Linked DNA regions of Neodiprion lecontei. The protein of the gene in region 1 purifies or fractionates together with the protein of each later gene. This does not show direct contact. Links are inferred from orthologs where the notes say so. Each region holds a gene or a part of one and is shown in the gene's direction. Other genes may lie near its edges. The genes, in order: splicing factor ESS-2 homolog and protein FRA10AC1.

Region 1 (5,169 bases):
TCAGAATTTAGAATTGATTTTAACGATTATACCATACAATTGTTATACCCCGATTAATTCGATTGAATTATTTTTCTTAAGCATGTGATCGTGAGTGCGAATCCTGCGGTTGGAATTTAAATTGCACCATTTTTTTTAAATTTTTTTTTATTTTTATAAGAAAAAAAATGAAACGATTCTAAAACGAAGTGAAATGTTTGAAATATCCGGCAAACAAATTAGCATCGATCGCCTTTTATCGAGTGCTGATAGTTTCATCGAATATGAAAATGAAGAATTAGAGCTAATATAAAAGTTGAATTTATTTTACAACGATCGAATTCGACGACTACTTTGAAGTAATGAAACGAAGAATTTGTCTAGAATTCTATTTCAGATAGCGAATATCTATAATTGTCAGCAAACAAGTTCTATAAGCTAGCTGCTGCATGAATAGCATGAAACGATTAATCGCGGCGGTAATGGGAGGAACGGGGGTCCATTCTCGATCATGCGGACGCGAATGGCGATATAAAGAGAAAAAGGCCGTAAGTAAAGTCAAGGGGCCGTCGTGTGTTCCCGGTGCTTGCCGAGTAAATGTAGAGTTAGTGACTTGCGGCGTTTGGCCGTTGTCGTCGGCACGGCTTTCCTATCTCGCTGCTGGAATCCCCATATGTCCGTCAGCGCGCCTCGCCAACACCTCGGAATCACTTGAGAGAGAGAGAGAGAGAGAGAGGAGCATCGGGATCTTCCGCACACTTTGATGCGAAGCTCCTATGCGTCCGCTCCTATTTGTGTGTCTTGTTCCTCTTGCGCTTGCCTCGGCCTTCCTCGTTTTCTCCTCTCTCGCCTGCCGCCACGGCTCGACCAAAATACCACTCGATCTTTGCGTACAGTGGCCAACGCAGGGGCGTCTTTTACAAATCGCGGGCTATGGCTGCACCACGTTATTTACCTGTACCCTCTTTTACCAGATTTCAAACGCCGTCGTTCCTCCCTCTGGAACTGAGGCGACGGCTTCGAAATATTTTTATCTTCCATTCCAGAAATTTATTGGCGCGTTTTAAACATGACGATATTTTGGAGTAAGTTCTGCTTGTTAGCGGATAACAAATATTACGCAATGATATAGGAGGAATATTGCACTCCACTGACTTTCTCGGTACTCGAATCGAACTCCGTACAAATCGGTCGCCACTGAGTTTTATCTCGAATAATTACACCTGCAAGTAAAAAATAATTATTCTAGGTTTTTAACAGGAAAGAATAGACGACATTAGTCCAACTCGAAAATTATAAACTGGTTGCACCGATAGGTGAAATATAAATTTGCCGCAAAGAAATCTATCAGTGAGTTTAGGGAATTTTTGGACAAAATTTTTGACGTTGCATGGCATTTCAATAAAGTTACTACACCCGTTTGTGTGATATAGCGAATGGCTTGATGTTTTAATTTATAGAAATAAATACCTGCATATCATCGTTCAAGCGAAAGTGCGCAAAGCGCGTTTGAAGCAGGTTGTACGATGGACTAATTATTATTTTTCGGTGCTAGCGAACACTGTTTCCGTTTCGCGAACGATGTACGAAAAGCAGCACAATATAATTGCAATACTAATTACCGTATTACAAATTGTTTGCGGGTAACTGACTTGTAAAAACTTACTCTCTAGCTTGTAACAAAATTGACTGAACTGTAAAAGAAGCTTAATTCAGATCGGAGGCAAGTCAGGAAGCTATGCAGTTTTTCATAATTCGGAAAGGTTCTACTATAGTTGAGAACGGTGACTAACTTGAAGTGCTTGAGATTCTTATTAATTATCATACATACTCTTCTATTCGAAGACCACTTGAAGTGAAACACCGAACGTTGAGATTCCACGTATTCATTTTTAATTTCACGTCTTTAGAAGAGTGATGGACACCGTTCAAAGTTCCCGCTGCAGGTTTCTTGACTCCACATTTCATCGAGGCTGCTGGGCTTGGCCGTGCCGTGGCGCCACTCTACGAATAAGTCAATCAGTGTCCACGACTCATGGCATCACCTGGAAAAGTGACAAAGTGTCATGGCGTCGAAACGAGTAAAAGTCGCGAACGTAACCTCACTTTGATTGTGTTTACATTAAATACTTGAAAAGTATAAGTTTCTGTTCAACGCAATCGAAGCTTGCTGTAGAATCGTGATAAATTTACGTTCGCCTGAGGGGCAAATGGGCTCGCCGATGGACACGCCTGGTTCACAGGCGCTCGAGGCAGCGAGAAACATAAAGGAGTTGGCAGTGTTTAAAAAGCCAATTGGGGTGGCGAAACGAAGAAAGGGCTGCAAGTCGACGATCCTCGATGAGGATACGTACATCGGTAAGATGGCCGAGATCATACAGAGGGACTTTTTCCCTGACCTTGAAAAGTTGCACGCTCAGAACGACTACCTCGACGCACTTGAGCACAACAACATAAAGAGGATGCGCGAGTTGTACGAGAAGTACAGTTCAGGACGACCCATCACGGAGCGGCCGGTGAGTCCTGCAACGTTTGAGACTCCTTTGCGGAACGGAAACACCGACGAGTCCGTCATGGAAATGCCAAAGTCTACGGAGATAGACGTACCTACTAACGACGCTGAGACGGAGGTGAAGATGGGTCTTGATGCTTACTTGACCTCTCATACAAGCGAGGACAACGCAAGTTTTGAGGAGATGATGGTAGAGTCGGAGAAGAAACACAGGCTTAAATACTCGTGGCTATATGAGGTTGAAGAAAAGTCTAAAGTCTTGGCCATTGAGAGGAACAAAAATGAGACGAGATGCATTGAGGGTAATTATGAAAAACCCAAGGAACTCGACGGCTGGAGTTACACGAACAAAAATTATATCATGTATGTGCCTGACGGCGTTGAATTGACTCCTGAAGAAAAGATCAATCTGGCTAAGAGGAAACAGGAAGTCATTCACGACAATACCAGACTTAGAATGAATCCTTTTAACGAACAACAGAATAAGGAAACGATCAACGAACTTGCCAAAACTCAATCAAAGGTTAAAGACGGCAAGATTGGAATCGATGGAAAAGAAGTAGTTCGTAATCCAACCCCGAGGGTCAATGGATTTAGCTTTGTTGCAACGCCAAGTCCTAGACCTGGAGAATGCGATAGCCCAATTATGACTTGGGGTCAAATAGAAGGGACGCCATTCAGGCTGGATGGAGGTGATACTCCGCTACTTAGAACCAGCCATGGGCCAGCATTCAGAATGGCTGAGCCTCCGAAAAGAGAAAAAATTGCATTACAACTGGCAGAGAAAGCTGGAGAGAGGCACAGAGACCGGAAAAGTAAAGCCTTGGAAGCTGCAAGAAGATCCTTGGCTAGGTATACAGTCTTAATAATTTTCATTCTTCTCATGCAGAACAGTTGATCCCTGTGTTTATTTATCAATTCTTGCACTATATAAAAAATTTCACACTAATCAGCCATTCTAATTCTTATATTTTTCAATTACAGTCCATCACCCAGACCTTTATCTGCGATGGATCGTTTGAGCACGATGTCACCAGCTGCGAGGAGATTAGCGACGCAAAAGTTGCGGCTTTCAGGAACCCCAACTCCTAGAAGATCTCGACAAACAAGAACTCCTTCTATAGGCGTAAGGACGCCACACACACCGATATTTGGCACACCTGGATCTAAGAGTCAAGATTCTGCGTTGGAAAAGACATCGACACTGCAGGGTCCTGTCCTTACCGATAATCTGCTTAATTTACCAACGCAAAGACAGAGAGCTGCTGATTTTTTCAATAAGTGAATCGATTTCATTCTAAATCTTGATAAATGCAGAGGTATGTGTATAAATTAAGCAAAAGCTGTATAAATTTAATTCAAAAGAATTCTACCACTGATATGTATTTCACGTCTGTTCCTTACTCCGTTCAATTGTTAAGTCGATGCTATGCAAATATTGTAATATATCTTAAGTTTTATAATGTCCACTGGTTACTTGTATTTACTCATTAGTTTGATAGGAGTATCCTGTGTTTATAAGTGTAAAATAGTTGAACGATATACTACTAGTTTTCGGCTAACTTCACTTGCGTGTTTCTATATTTCGCTGAATGGAAACACTGTTAATATTGTTCAAGTTTTGTAAATACGTACTTAAGATTAAGTTTTATGTAATAATTTTTTTGGGGAGATTTATTATATGCAATATTTATTATTGATTTGGTAATATTGACGAATGATTAACACTAATTTGCGATTCCATTAGAAATGAATTTACGAAAAGTCATTACGTCATTTTTTTCCGATGGTGTGAACGCAAAGGTAATATGCTGGTAGATACTCACGGATAAGCTCGATAAGCATTTTCACGAAAAATATTATTCACAACGTGCCGAAATTTAAAACAATCTGTGTCAGAGTGATGAATAAATGAAGTTCTTACCGACCATAGTATTGTCGACCTGTTTATTTTTTCCTATTTTTGAATAGAGATCCTTCTGTGAGACAATGTCCAGCCAATATCTATTGAATAAATAATTTGGTAAAATTTTAAAATGTTTGCTCGATATTAAAAACGTATATTCAAACGCAAAGTATTATGCAACAAATTTGATTTGATCTAGATCGACGAAATCTGCTAGTCCAGAGTCAAAGTAAAAATTACAACGCTCACATTAAAGTATTTGTGTATGTTATAAAAGAAAAAGGACAGACTGTGATTATTCTGGGCCCCTAGTTCTGTAATTTCATTGAGAGTGCATTAGAAAATGATATCTGCTATATCGCGACGAATGAAACCTACATTCGAGAACTTCACTGATCAAAAATTCCAGCAAAAAAAGGAGATCCGAGCTGAATCTCATAAATCGCCATGACAGTACATGAAGCTGTGCATTTTCATGTTTTTGCTCCCTCCTGAATTTGAGTGAATCAAAAGCCCGTCTAAGAAATAGTTCAATTCTATGACCAACGCAAGCTTGTTTGATACAATCGTACGTCAACTGATAAATCGTAAAATCTGGACGTGCCAGAAATATTTTCGGCTTCAATATTTGATTGCAGATTAAATTTTTATAAAAATATTCAAATAGTTTACCACATTGATTTGTTTATGATATTGTTATATGCTGTTGACATTAATTCGAATCGCTTCCACTATCCCGTTATACGGTTGAATTGTCATTGATATAAAACCA
Region 2 (4,539 bases), about 15 Mb from region 1:
GAATTCAATGGTATAATATTCTTGTCAATTTCTAACAGAATATCTTCAATTAACTAGGTAAGTAGTGATAAATCTAGCAAATGCCTGAGTTATTCAGATTTATCTTCAGCTACTGGTTTGTCGTGTTTAACCTGGCTGGTATACACGTCATAGCCAAGAGATATGGTATTATCGTATAGCACCCTGAACCTGGTGGGTAAGAAATAGAAATTAATGATTTGAGCAGGTGGCCAGACAATCCACTCTGCGAGATACAACTGATGGGCTTTGTCTCTGATTTCTTGCTTAAACTCTGTCCAGGTATTTCTCTCCAGTATACCCAATGTTACAAAAAACATTCCTATGCAAAGAGGAGAGCACACCATTTGGTCAACCAATACCTTCTTTAAGACAATGCCAATTGTTCTACCCGGCATTTTTCGATCTAGAAATCTGTACCAGTGATGGCACACTATGCCGACGGACATACCAGATATCGCCATGTGTCTTGTTCTTACAGGACTCCATTTTTCCCAGGTACCCTGAATGTAAGTATACTTATGTTTGTTAATATGTATTAGCTATGAGTTTTGAATTTATAAAAAATACGGAATTGCGTTACCTGAAGAATTTCGTAATGCTGTTCTAGAATGTCACCAACGCCGGAGAGAGATACGGAAATTGCGATATTGGTGTAAAATAAGTTTTTTGGTGAGAATATTTGTTCTTTCAGTTGATTGACCCGACTTCCAAGTTGGGTCACCCCACGAGCTATGCTCATTCTCTGAAATCAAAGGGTATTGATGGAGTTGTGTTGTGATGATTGGACTGTGAAACTTAGGTAATTGCGGGTATGAATCGATCGGATGACGTTAGTAACAAGTTTTCCTTTTAGTTTATCAATGCTTTTGCTACAGATAAGACGGCGGGCAAATATCAGTTAAAGTTAGGTTACTTGTATTCGATTATTAGCCTAAAAGTAATTTAACAATGTTTTTTGCTTCGTTGAAAGTGTTACATGTTATTACACTCACAGTATAATATACGTAATAATATCCTAGCCAGTTGTATTCGTCTTGAAACTAGTTATCCGAGTTCGTAGGGAATTGCGTCAAGGGTTGTAACATAGGATTTAAGGTTATCTGTAAGACTAGCGCGAGCATCGAAACAACAGTGATTCAGTACTTTGATCATTTTTACAACAACGGTGAATGCAACTTATGCCTATTATAACGAAATAAAGCGATCTTTTAAAACGTTAAAACTTCTACCGAGAGTAGCGGTTGATAGCAGAAAGCATCGGAGGCCACGTGCAAAGACCACGACCACTCGTGATGCGCAAACTACTCGTATCAAAACTATTCACATTTGGGGTGGAGTCTTGTAAATTTCAGAACTCTGTATTGGTTTATTAATTATCTTTGATATATAACTTTTTATTCTATGTTTTCAACTTCTATAGCAGTGAAAAATAATTCTAAACGTTTTCCTTTGGATATGAATCATAAAGGAACGAATTTGACTGCTTGAGCGCTTTATGTGTCAAGGGATCGCTACACTAGCTAATTTATTGCCTTTTGGCTGATTTCTTATACGGGTGATAAACAGTTAAGTATATTACTCAGTCTATCGAACTTTATTTTTTATAATTTTAACTAGCTATTGGGGTAAACAAAATTGAGAGTAAATAAATTTTAGTGGGCGGTATATAATTTGGCATTTCAATTTCAACAATGAATACAAAATGGCGATGATGGCTACACTTCTGCGTAACTGCAGAAATTGTAGAATCTGATTGGTTGTTATTTTAAACCAGCCAATCAATTTCTACGATTTCTACTCACACACTGCGTTATATTCATAGACTTATTCTACAGTAAACGTAACCAAGAATCCATCTGACAAGTGCAGAAAGACGAATTTGAGTGTCAGCCGCGTTTAGCGCGATTTTTTGCAAAATCGAGTAATTGAATGGAAAAACCGAAACGTTGATATAATGTTTCCTGCATATGCGAACCTCTCGGCATATGATCGTCACAAGAAGTTGATGAATGATTATTTTTTAACGAGAAAAGGTTCAGCCATAACCTTGAAACGGGACACGTAAGTGAGAATTACTTACTAGAAAAAAAAAAAAAAAACAAGGTTCGAAATGCATTCGAATAGATGGAATGATAGTTATCTGTTGACCAGAGACATGATGATAATAAAATAATCTTCCTGTTCATCATGACGTTTCGGCGTGTTTTTCGAGGTCGCGGGACAAAACAGACGCCGATGTTATTCGGGATCAGCACAGATTTTTATGGCACAGCGAAGATAACGACGTACCCGATTCGTGGGAAACTAGACTGGCAAAAAAATACTATGACAAATTGTTCAAGGAGTACTGCATATCCGATTTGACCCACTACAAAAAAAACAAGGTACCTCTTTCCGCTGATCCATTTTACTTTTGCTTTGTAATACGCCATTGCTTTATGTTCCACTTTTAAAACTCAGGTTGCTCTCCGATGGAGAACAGAGAACGAAGTTGTCATAGGCAAGGGTCAGTTTCAATGTGGAAACAAGAGATGTGTAGAAAAGAATGAGCTCAAAACTTGGGAAGTAAATTTCGGTTATGTCGAGCATGGAGAGAAGAAAAACGCGCTTGTCAAATTGAGTGAGTCTCCGACGTTTGTTTGTAAAAAACTTATGACCAGTTTCCTTGTTCAGTACATATAAATTTATTAATTTCCAGGACTTTGTCCAGAATGTTCTCTCAAGTTAAATCATCATAGTAGAAAGCGGGAGGTGAAAAGAAGAAGATCTTTAAAACGATTAGGAAAAACTGTTGACGTCCAAGAAGTTTTGGCGACGTCTACTACTATGGTAAGGGACGCAATTGAAGTTAAAGTTGAAAAGGAAGATCAAGCCGACGACAAAAAGGAAGAAAAAACCGTTAAGGAATCGCAAATTTGGAAGGACAAGCCCACAGATAGCAATGAAAAATCAAGGGAGGAAGAGTTCGAAGAGTATTTCGATGAACTGTTCATGTAAAATAGATTACACCGTAGTAAATAACGAAAATATACTCTCATTTCACAGAACAATTGTACTGTGTACTTATTACACTGTCTAATAAAAACGGATTTCATTTTACAGACTATCATAGACAGGAACGGTTGTTTTATGATCGATCAGTTTTTTGATTTCAACTAAAACGATATAGTTCATCTGGTGTGTTTCATCAGTAGCTATATTTAATTTCATGTCATGTCATTCCAGGATTTCAAAATTACTAGCCTGTCAGGAGTATAAGATAAATTTTATTTATAAAAAATTCATAACGTAGTAAATTCAATTTTTTTTAAATAGCGCTAGATTCTGTCTACCTGTATGCTTATACGTATGCAAACTTTGTAATTCTGGATTTTGTACGTATGTATAATTCAAATATCTGGTGAAAAAACTAAGCTACGTATCTCACTTTGAATTCCGACTTTTGTTACACTGTGCTTTCCAATTTCTTGACATTTTTTCCCTCCATTTTAAAATTGATTTGATTAGTAAAAACTACTTTATCAACATGCAAGCACCATTATTGCAGATTTCTTTTCCCCTACCTTCCAAGTTATTATATATTATGAAGATTACTATAGTATTGACTGAACGTAAATAAAAAATAATTTATTATAATTTCATATCATATACGGTAATATGTAACGATTACAATATTGTCAGATGATATACAACGTCTCTAGATATCTAAAAATTTGTTTAACATTTCTTCTTAATCTAAGTAAACGACTGGGCATATTGCCCTCTCAACTTGTTGAATTCACCCGTCGGCGTTGCTAGTCCTTTTTTGTTGCTTAACAATAATTATTATAACTAAATTTTTTTCGTCGTATACAATATCATGTATATTACATAAAGACCATCGGCAATATTTTAATTACACAACACGCCAACGTGTAGAATTATCAATTGTTTCTTTGCCTATAAACGGGCTAAAAGCTTCAAACAATTTGACCAGTGGTGAAAGCCAAAATTCGAGTAGTTTAAAAACTGAATAATCAATAGTCAACATCTAACGGCTTATCTAATTTACTTCTCTCAATGACAATTTACGTGCTTCGATATTGGCCTGCTTTTGCGAGTCGCTATCTTCGTCGCTACAATCTTCGTCGTGAGTATGTGTCACATTTCTAGGTGTTTCAGGCCTTGCATGTGGTATCTGACTCCCTGTATGATCGATGTCGACTAATCCCTGCTAAGAGGATACAACAAAGTTAGTTAATATTCTGTAATTAGCTATCACGGAAGTGCCTATATTTCCATGTGAAAACTTACGCTGAATACTTTTCCCTGATCTTCTTCCTCGTCTGTGAGCTTGAATGTGCGAGATCGACTGATCATTGGAGTTTCCATAACAAATCTCTGCTCATGTGCGACCGTACTTTCATGAGGCATCTAAATATGTGACAAAAACATGCATCGCGTTATGAATAATTATTTATGAAAACCGTTTATCGATCTGGAAACGCATCTTGGGATTACCAACCAGCATTGCAGGTG

What was found.
Region 2: the proteins of splicing factor ESS-2 homolog (region 1) and protein FRA10AC1 purify together in Homo sapiens (co-immunoprecipitation; 3 studies listed by BioGRID and IntAct, counting the BioPlex papers as one, with this or other methods). This does not show direct contact. The link is inferred for Neodiprion lecontei from reciprocal best matches to the Homo sapiens genes ESS2 and FRA10AC1.

What each region holds. Positions count from the first base shown.
Region 1 is NC_060262.1:35,270,588-35,275,756, reverse strand, and holds splicing factor ESS-2 homolog, read left to right. Parts: upstream 1-2,004; 5' UTR 2,005-2,189; coding exon 2,190-3,343; intron 3,344-3,475; coding exon 3,476-3,776; 3' UTR 3,777-4,423; downstream 4,424-5,169. UniProt on the Homo sapiens protein: May be involved in pre-mRNA splicing.
Region 2 is NC_060262.1:20,624,448-20,628,986, reverse strand, and holds protein FRA10AC1, read left to right. Parts: upstream 1-1,845; 5' UTR 1,846-1,975; coding exon 1,976-2,082; intron 2,083-2,233; coding exon 2,234-2,405; intron 2,406-2,481; coding exon 2,482-2,641; intron 2,642-2,719; coding exon 2,720-3,018; 3' UTR 3,019-4,014; downstream 4,015-4,539. Other genes in the region: mpv17-like protein 2, read right to left, coding at 90-521, 602-760; cytosolic purine 5'-nucleotidase, read right to left, coding at 4,064-4,234, 4,315-4,434, 4,526-4,539. UniProt on the Homo sapiens protein: May be involved in pre-mRNA splicing.